Linked DNA regions of Saccharomyces cerevisiae S288C. The gene in region 1 interacts genetically with each later gene. Each region holds a gene or a part of one and is shown on either strand. Other genes may lie near its edges.

Region 1 (2,473 bases):
TGTTAATTTTTTATGGGATGCAAGGGGAGGTAAGCCCTTTAACTCTTCGTAATAGGAACTGCTTCCAACGGCATCAAATTCTATTCTTGATTTCCATTTCAGTATACCTTTAGTTAAGTCTGCTACCATGCTAGGCACTCTCTGCCTTTCTTATGGTTTGGTTACGCATACTCTTCCTTTATATATTCATTGTCATATTTTAAGGAAGCAATCGCTCCCGACGCAAAGTAAAAATATTCAGTGCTTTGCACTCCAGTTAGAAAAAATGAAGAGAATTCAATTGAGAATAAGCAGGGAAGTAATTGGATTGGGAGAATCTAAAAAATGTGGAACTCACTAAAAGCATTCGCTCTAGTGTTCGGAGGTTGTTGCTCCAATGTTATTACATTTGAAACCTTAATGAGCAACGAAACAGGCAGCATTAATAATCTCATTACTTTTTGTCAATTTTTATTTGTTACATGTCAGGGACTCCCCGAATTTCTGGATGTTCATCAACCTTTCCCTTACTTCAAGCCTCTGAAAACTCCACTTCACGTTTATGTCATTACTGTCGTTTTATTTTATATTTCATCTACGACGAATAATAACGTATTTAAATACAACATATCCATTCCGATTCATATCGTTTTCAGATGCTTCGGAACCGTAATAACCATGTTTACATGCTGGTTATTAAATGGTAGGAAATATACAAAGATTCAGATTTTATCAACACTATTTTTAACCATTGGAGCTATAATTGCCTCATTATTCAAAGATGCTGATTTTCGGTACCAAGATTTGAAACTGCAAGCGTGGAAAATTGGAAGTGACCAATCTGTAGATCTCACTTTTATTTTTGGCATTTGTATACTAGTACTTTCATCATTCACATCATCTTTACTTTCAGCATACAATGAACGTACGTATCAAAAATATGGAAAGCATTGGAAGGAGAATATCTTTTACAGTCATTTTTTATCATTACCTCTCTTTCTATTTAGTCGAAAGCAGTTAATTCACGAATATCGAGTGATGAGAAAGTCTGAAAGAATATTGTGTTCAAATTTTGGAGGGAAGATTCTAGTCCCGCGAGAAGAAACTCTCCTTCTTTTCAATGTGTTAACACAATATTTTTGCGTCAAGGGTGTTAATATCCTCGCCAGTAAAACAAACGCTCTGACACTTTCCATAACATTACTTGTAAGAAAATTTATAAGTCTTTTACTGAGCGTCCGACTTTTCGATAATAACTTGTCATATACTGGCTACATCGGGGTCTACCTAGTCTTTTTTGGTGCCTTTATATACTCGCTGGGATCAATTCACCCCAGGCAAAATGACAAGGGGGCGATAAAGAAAAGTAAATGAACACACATTATAAACTAACCTTAAATCCTACTTGTATGTTCCTTAACTCTATATTAGTGGTGTTGACGTAAGTTTAGATAAAATCGCGAACGCTGCCGCCTGGAAGTAAATGAAAAAAAAAAAAAAAAGAATTCATCACCTAAACTCACTAATCTTTAAAACTCATTCATGAGAAGTGGAGAACTATATTACAGCTATGGAACAAAGGAACAACGGTATGCAAAATTTCGATCTCTGGGTTTTAATAAATGCATGTAGCCAATTTTATCTTACTAACAATCTTTGTGTTTTCTCTGTGTATAGTCTTTCAAGCAAAATATAATGAATACAAACAAATTTTGGAAGAATTGCAAACAAAAATCATAGAATTAGGTCATGACAAAGATGAACACACTATAGTCATAAAAACACTGAAAGACGCTGAGCCGACGAGAAAATGTTACAGGATGATAGGTGGCGCACTTGTTGAAAGTGATGTTCAAACGAGTTTGCCTATTCTTGAAACTAAGAAGGAAAACATAGAAGGTACAATAAGTAAAATGAAAGAAACCTTAATACAAACTGCAAAAGAGTTTGAAAAATGGAAAAAAGACAATAAGATTCAAGTCGTTAAAAACTAAACCATATATAAAATCTATTGCAGTACTTAGTTTGGCAAAAAATATAAATAAACACAATCAGGTACTCTTATGTATTTATGTGAGCCATTTATAAAGAATTATAAAGGATATGAAAACATATATTAGTTTGTTTTTTTGAATGTTTCAAGTTTCTTGCCAACAGAGGAAGTCGTAACGAAAGAAACAACAAAAAATATCCACGCAACAATGACGCCACAAATGGCGCTAATATAAACCCAAGAATTGCTGATTTCCCAACTTCTTGGGTATTCATCATTAGCAAGGTGACGGATAGCTTTAACGTCTTTGTCAGTAGTGAACGACAGGCCAATCTTACGATAGTCAGTGAGGAATGTAAACACTCCATGGCGGTCTGGAAGGATGAATTCACCGGTGGTGTAATACTGAGTTTCAGAATCGTTTCCGCTTGGCGACAATGTTAGACGGTAGTACGGATCCACTTGTCTTAGTTCAAATTGGATATCATCAGCGATATGTGG
Region 2 (2,894 bases), on another chromosome or scaffold:
CAAGACTCCCGCATAAGATTTGCAGGCGAACATACTATCATGGACGGCGCCGGCTGTGCCTATGGTGCTTGGGAAAGCGGAAGACGGGAGGCGACTCGAATCTCTGACTTACTGAAATAGAATCTATTTTTTCGAAATTACTTACACTTTTGACGGCTAGAAAAGGATATACATACATATTAAAATTTTTAGTAACACTCTGTGCTTTTTCAAAAATTTGAGGTACACCTAATTCTCCCACTTGTTGCTTATACCAAGTTTGAACAATTTTAATGTTAAGCACAATAGATTGGAATATTATCATATGGTGGTTCAGAGAGTAGTAGGGTGCATTTTCATTCCTGTTGCCTCAATGTGTTTTCTATCTGTATTTACGTGATTTTATGAAGTGGTGGCATCGCTTAGATGTGGTGCATAATTAGAGACTAATTTTTGAAACCACGCATGAATGTCAAGTAATTCTAACTGAGCATCTGTCATCAATGGCACTTGCAACTTCAAAAAATCCCACCAATATTTTGACGGCACCAATTTACCTTTGAATTTTATTTGAGTTTTCCTTGTTAATCTTGCATTCAGAATTCCATAGAAAAAGAATTTTTCAAATGGAATTATATTTGTAGAGTGAGAAAAACATCCATCACAAGTGCAGTTATCCGGAGGACATATGCATTCCTTGTCAGTGCATTTACAATCATCCAAATAATCCATCATCTTATCAGTAATTTGAGCTTCACCAATATTGGTTAAAGGAACACCACTTTGTTGAATATAAGAATTCAGTTCCTCTTCGCTTCTATGGATTAGACAATTAACACATGGGCAGCTTTCATCTTCACAAGAGCACTGCGTGCTTAAAAAAATGCCCTTATGAGTCAGGACTTCAACTTTCGAAGCAACGTCGCTTGAATGAGGAGCAGCAATCGTTGTTGTACTTTGTGGGGTGAGTGTTTCTGAACTGTCATGCGCACCAGGAACAGAACTATTGTAGTTTTCTTGTAAAATATCGTTAAAAGCGGACGTAGATTCCAAGGAGCCGTATGGCGTAAATATGTCATCAGACGGTGCCTTGTTCGTCTTGCCATTAGAAGCTGGGTTCTGTGATTTATCTTTCTTACAGCAGTTTGAAAAATGTCGTATAGGCTCCTGTTGAAGCCGGCTTCGCTCTTTCTTCTCACTTGAAGAAGATGACTTGGTAGAGTCCGGAGATATTGTTCCTGTTGCCGGAGCTTTGGGAGAGTGTTTCCTAAGAAACTCCGTTTCGGTGATATATTTGTTACCATCATCGGTAAATGTGCTAATATCTTTAGGCTCATGAGCAGTGAAACCTTCCTCCATTAATATATGCAATTTTCCGTTTATCATTCTTGCCTTTCTAACAGCAGAGGCACGTACAAACAGTATTGGCTGTTGATTCATTGCGCTGCAGCAGTCACCTTCAATTTGTGCACCATTTTCGTATTCTGTACTTTGCGATGTAGAGTCTACTAAAATAGCGTCTCTGATAGCCATGGGTGAAGGTCTTCCTCTAGTTCTCACCTTAATTAGCATTCGGTGAGAATGCCTGCATGTTGAAGAGCGATGCCCTCTGATGCACGATGCACACGCATATTTGTTCCCATTAAATATTATCATCTCTGATAGAGCTTGAAGAACTTACCAGACTGTTTCAAGTTTAAAACAAGGCGCCTCATCGCATCTACCTCACGAAGATGCAGCAGCTTATTGTCTCGAGATCCTTCTTATAACTCCTTTTCGCCATTACCCGAAAACGAGATTACAGCCTCTAAACCAAGAGCTCGAAAAGCGCCAAAGTAAACTCTGGCGTTTAGCGTACGAAGGAGATTATCCTAAAAGGAACTTCCCTAGTAATAGTGTAATTTGGAAGGGCATAGCATGTCGAAAACCGCTCAGAAACGTCTCCTCAAGGAGCTTCAACAGTTAATTAAAGATTCTCCACCTGGTATAGTGGCTGGTCCCAAATCGGAGAATAACATATTCATTTGGGACTGCCTAATTCAAGGGCCTCCAGATACGCCATACGCTGATGGTGTTTTTAATGCTAAGCTAGAGTTTCCTAAAGACTATCCGTTATCTCCACCTAAACTTACTTTCACACCCAGCATACTACATCCAAATATTTATCCAAATGGGGAAGTGTGCATATCCATTCTACACTCCCCTGGTGATGATCCTAACATGTACGAATTAGCGGAAGAAAGATGGTCGCCAGTGCAAAGTGTAGAAAAAATTCTATTAAGTGTTATGAGCATGTTGAGTGAGCCCAATATCGAAAGTGGTGCCAACATTGATGCTTGCATCTTGTGGAGAGATAATAGACCTGAATTTGAGAGACAGGTAAAGTTATCCATTTTGAAATCATTAGGATTCTGAAAGCAGGTAGCAGGTTAATGATCATTTGGTCTTCCTTTTAACTGTTCTCTATATACATAAATAAGCATATCTACCATCTAAAAGAAAGCAAATGTCACATAATAAATATGTTAAAATCTCAATGTCTTCCTGGCTTTTCAGGAATTCAAACCATTTCCATTTCGTTGGTGTATAATCAGGGGCCCCTCTACTCTCACCTCTCTGTACCGAAGCGTTAATCAATTTTCTTTTATTTATATACACGATGATTGTAACTAGGTTATTTTCCTATACAAAATTTGCTGAACACTGAATCTAAGATTTCCTCAATACCAATAGCTTGTCCTGTTATCTTAGCTATTCCATCGGATGCATACCTCAAATTTTCTGTGGCCAATACTATATCATTATGGAAATCTTTGGATTTGAAAAACTCTTCCAAGCCGTACAGTACGTCGTTTTTGAGAATCTCTGACACTCTTTTGGAAACAATGACAGGACTTGCATCGGCACTTGATTGA
Region 3 (4,470 bases), on another chromosome or scaffold:
TGGGTAATTCGCTGCTATTTATTCATTCCACCTTCTTCTTTTTTGAGCGAAGCCTTTATAATCAAATTTTAGTGGTCTTTTCTATTTTTATTTGAGAAGCCTACCACGTAAGGGAAGAATAACAAAAAGTATATCTCACCCTACTGTATTCATAAAAAGTTTTTTCTATTAGAATTCTATAAGAAAAGAAAAAAAAAAAGCCTAGTGACCTAGTATTTAATCCAAATAAAATTCAAACAAAAACCAAAACTAACATGTTCAGCTTGAAAGCATTATTGCCATTGGCCTTGTTGTTGGTCAGCGCCAACCAAGTTGCTGCAAAAGTCCACAAGGCTAAAATTTATAAACACGAGTTGTCCGATGAGATGAAAGAAGTCACTTTCGAGCAACATTTAGCTCATTTAGGCCAAAAGTACTTGACTCAATTTGAGAAAGCTAACCCCGAAGTTGTTTTTTCTAGGGAGCATCCTTTCTTCACTGAAGGTGGTCACGATGTTCCATTGACAAATTACTTGAACGCACAATATTACACTGACATTACTTTGGGTACTCCACCTCAAAACTTCAAGGTTATTTTGGATACTGGTTCTTCAAACCTTTGGGTTCCAAGTAACGAATGTGGTTCCTTGGCTTGTTTCCTACATTCTAAATACGATCATGAAGCTTCATCAAGCTACAAAGCTAATGGTACTGAATTTGCCATTCAATATGGTACTGGTTCTTTGGAAGGTTACATTTCTCAAGACACTTTGTCCATCGGGGATTTGACCATTCCAAAACAAGACTTCGCTGAGGCTACCAGCGAGCCGGGCTTAACATTTGCATTTGGCAAGTTCGATGGTATTTTGGGTTTGGGTTACGATACCATTTCTGTTGATAAGGTGGTCCCTCCATTTTACAACGCCATTCAACAAGATTTGTTGGACGAAAAGAGATTTGCCTTTTATTTGGGAGACACTTCAAAGGATACTGAAAATGGCGGTGAAGCCACCTTTGGTGGTATTGACGAGTCTAAGTTCAAGGGCGATATCACTTGGTTACCTGTTCGTCGTAAGGCTTACTGGGAAGTCAAGTTTGAAGGTATCGGTTTAGGCGACGAGTACGCCGAATTGGAGAGCCATGGTGCCGCCATCGATACTGGTACTTCTTTGATTACCTTGCCATCAGGATTAGCTGAAATGATTAATGCTGAAATTGGGGCCAAGAAGGGTTGGACCGGTCAATATACTCTAGACTGTAACACCAGAGACAATCTACCTGATCTAATTTTCAACTTCAATGGCTACAACTTCACTATTGGGCCATACGATTACACGCTTGAAGTTTCAGGCTCCTGTATCTCTGCAATTACACCAATGGATTTCCCAGAACCTGTTGGCCCACTGGCCATCGTTGGTGATGCCTTCTTGCGTAAATACTATTCTATTTACGATTTGGGCAACAATGCGGTTGGTTTGGCCAAAGCAATTTGAGCTAAACTTTTCTTACTTCTCCGCCCTATCCTTTTCTGCCATCTAGAGAGCTTTTATAAGTAGATAACAATAAAAAAAACTATAGTATATTTAAAAAAAAAAAACAAGACAAACCATCTTGTCCTCAGTTTTAGAATCCATTGTTCTATGCTGCTGCCCATAATGTCATTATATGCGGGTAGCCCGATGATGCGGCTCGAGAATTTCCTTGTTTATCCTTTTCCAATAGCGGAACAATTGATAATAAAGCAATGTAAGCAGAAGCGAAAAATAAAAAGAAATAGGCTGCAGAGATTCACAGGCTGCGCTCTAGAAACATTTGAAATCAAGGCAAACATAGAACACTTGATAAAATTCTTACCATAATACCACCATTGATGATTCAAAAAATGAGCCCAAGCTTAAGGAGGCCATCAACGAGGTCTAGTTCTGGTTCAAGTAATATCCCACAATCGCCCTCTGTACGATCAACTTCATCGTTTTCTAATCTGACAAGAAACTCCATACGGAGCACCTCTAATTCGGGTTCTCAGTCGATTTCTGCATCTTCCACTAGAAGTAACTCCCCACTAAGATCCGTATCAGCCAAATCCGATCCCTTCCTTCACCCAGGTAGGATAAGGATCAGGCGGAGCGACAGTATTAACAACAACTCGAGAAAAAACGATACATATACTGGGTCAATCACTGTGACCATCCGGCCGAAACCACGGAGCGTTGGAACTTCCCGTGACCATGTGGGGCTAAAATCGCCCAGGTACTCTCAACCAAGATCCAACTCACATCACGGTAGCAATACATTTGTTAGAGACCCCTGGTTTATTACTAATGACAAAACAATAGTGCATGAAGAAATTGGAGAGTTCAAGTTCGATCATGTTTTTGCTTCCCATTGCACTAATTTGGAAGTTTATGAAAGAACCAGTAAACCAATGATTGATAAGTTATTGATGGGGTTTAATGCCACCATATTTGCGTACGGTATGACCGGGTCAGGTAAAACGTTTACAATGAGCGGAAATGAACAAGAGCTAGGCCTAATTCCTTTATCTGTGTCGTATTTATTTACCAATATCATGGAACAATCAATGAATGGCGATAAAAAGTTCGACGTTATAATATCGTACCTCGAAATTTACAATGAAAGGATTTACGACCTGTTAGAAAGCGGATTAGAAGAATCCGGTAGTAGAATCAGTACTCCTTCAAGGTTATATATGAGCAAGAGCAACAGCAATGGATTGGGCGTAGAATTAAAAATCAGAGATGACTCTCAGTATGGGGTCAAAGTTATCGGTCTCACCGAAAGAAGATGTGAAAGTAGTGAAGAATTATTGAGGTGGATTGCAGTTGGTGACAAAAGTAGGAAAATTGGCGAAACTGACTACAATGCAAGAAGCTCACGATCTCATGCCATTGTACTGATTCGTTTAACAAGTACTAACGTAAAGAACGGCACCTCAAGATCGAGTACATTGTCGTTGTGTGACCTAGCAGGTTCGGAAAGGGCTACGGGGCAACAAGAGAGGAGAAAGGAAGGTTCATTCATCAACAAATCCTTACTTGCTTTGGGGACTGTGATATCCAAACTCAGTGCCGACAAGATGAACTCAGTAGGCTCAAACATTCCCTCGCCATCTGCAAGTGGCAGTAGCAGCAGTAGTGGAAATGCTACCAATAACGGCACTAGCCCAAGCAACCACATTCCATATCGTGATTCTAAATTGACTAGATTATTGCAGCCGGCACTAAGCGGTGACAGCATAGTGACAACGATATGTACAGTCGACACCAGAAATGATGCGGCAGCGGAAACTATGAATACGCTGAGGTTTGCATCAAGAGCGAAAAACGTCGCACTTCATGTATCCAAAAAATCCATCATCAGTAACGGGAATAACGATGGAGATAAAGATCGCACCATTGAGCTACTGAGACGCCAATTGGAAGAACAACGTAGGATGATCTCTGAATTGAAGAACCGTTCAAACATTGGCGAGCCCTTAACCAAATCTTCCAATGAAAGTACTTATAAAGACATTAAAGCCACCGGCAATGATGGTGATCCGAATTTGGCTCTAATGAGAGCGGAGAATCGAGTATTAAAATATAAACTAGAGAATTGTGAAAAACTACTAGATAAAGATGTGGTTGATTTGCAAGATTCTGAGATTATGGAAATTGTAGAAATGCTTCCCTTTGAGGTCGGCACCCTTTTGGAAACAAAGTTCCAAGGTTTGGAATCACAAATAAGGCAATATAGGAAATACACTCAAAAACTTGAAGACAAGATCATGGCGCTAGAAAAAAGTGGTCATACTGCAATGTCGCTAACTGGGTGTGACGGCACTGAAGTGATCGAATTACAGAAGATGCTCGAGAGGAAGGATAAAATGATTGAGGCCCTGCAGAGTGCCAAACGACTGCGGGATAGGGCTTTGAAACCACTCATTAATACACAGCAATCACCGCACCCTGTCGTGGATAACGATAAATGATTAGGTGAGGGTCCCAGATCTCGGGTGCTTTTTTCCTTGTGCGGATTGTTCTGTAGACTGCGCCTCCGCTTGCCCGGCGCTTGCCTTGAACGGGATCTATTCTCAGAAGACAGCGCATAAAAGGCAGTTTTTAGGCACTTCTCGTTAAGAAAATACACAAATAATGGATTTACGAAGTTCGTTTCAGTGTGGTACCAAAAAATTTGGCATCAGCTAATAAAGATCAAGAAGTTTTGGGGTTGTTTCGAGTCTGTCTCGGCCTTAATTGTGCAGGTACTAAAGGGATTAATATATAAAGATTGTTAAGGCCAAGTGACTGAAACTTGCAAACGTCTTTGAATCAGGCTTATCTCTTAAATACTTATATATATGTTCTTTTATAGACTTCATAATCTCTTGTTCCAAGAACAGTAAAGAGCAATTAAAAAAAGGAAAATAACAGTTAAAGATGATAGCGGATTCATCAGTTTTGAAAAAGCACACAGCAATCAAGAGAAGTA

What was found. A genetic interaction does not mean that the proteins touch.
Region 2: mutations in GIM4 (region 1) and UBC7 together harm fitness more than expected from each alone (negative genetic interaction), as found in Saccharomyces cerevisiae (6 studies listed by BioGRID).
Region 3: mutations in GIM4 (region 1) and KIP2 together harm fitness more than expected from each alone (negative genetic interaction), as found in Saccharomyces cerevisiae (6 studies listed by BioGRID, with this or other methods).

Annotation. Positions count from the first base shown.
Region 1 is NC_001137.3:146,627-149,099, forward strand, and holds GIM4 (tubulin-binding prefolding complex subunit GIM4), read left to right. Parts: upstream 1-1,549; coding exon 1,550-1,568; intron 1,569-1,656; coding exon 1,657-1,973; downstream 1,974-2,473. Other genes in the region: VAB2 (Vab2p), read right to left, coding at 1-129; YEA4 (Yea4p), read left to right, coding at 325-1,353; WBP1 (dolichyl-diphosphooligosaccharide-protein glycotransferase), read right to left, coding at 2,096-2,473. UniProt on the Saccharomyces cerevisiae protein: Binds specifically to cytosolic chaperonin (c-CPN) and transfers target proteins to it. Binds to nascent polypeptide chain and promotes folding in an environment in which there are many competing pathways for nonnative proteins.
Region 2 is NC_001145.3:316,784-319,677, forward strand, and holds UBC7 (E2 ubiquitin-conjugating protein UBC7), read left to right. Parts: upstream 1-1,896; coding exon 1,897-2,394; downstream 2,395-2,894. Other genes in the region: FMS1 (polyamine oxidase), read left to right, coding at 1-120; MAC1 (Mac1p), read right to left, coding at 382-1,635; MSS1 (Mss1p), read right to left, coding at 2,654-2,894.
Region 3 is NC_001148.4:256,716-261,185, reverse strand, and holds KIP2 (Kip2p), read left to right. Parts: upstream 1-1,849; coding exon 1,850-3,970; downstream 3,971-4,470. Other genes in the region: PEP4 (proteinase A), read left to right, coding at 255-1,472; pheromone-regulated protein PRM4, read left to right, coding at 4,419-4,470. UniProt on the Saccharomyces cerevisiae protein: Required for assembly of the mitotic spindle.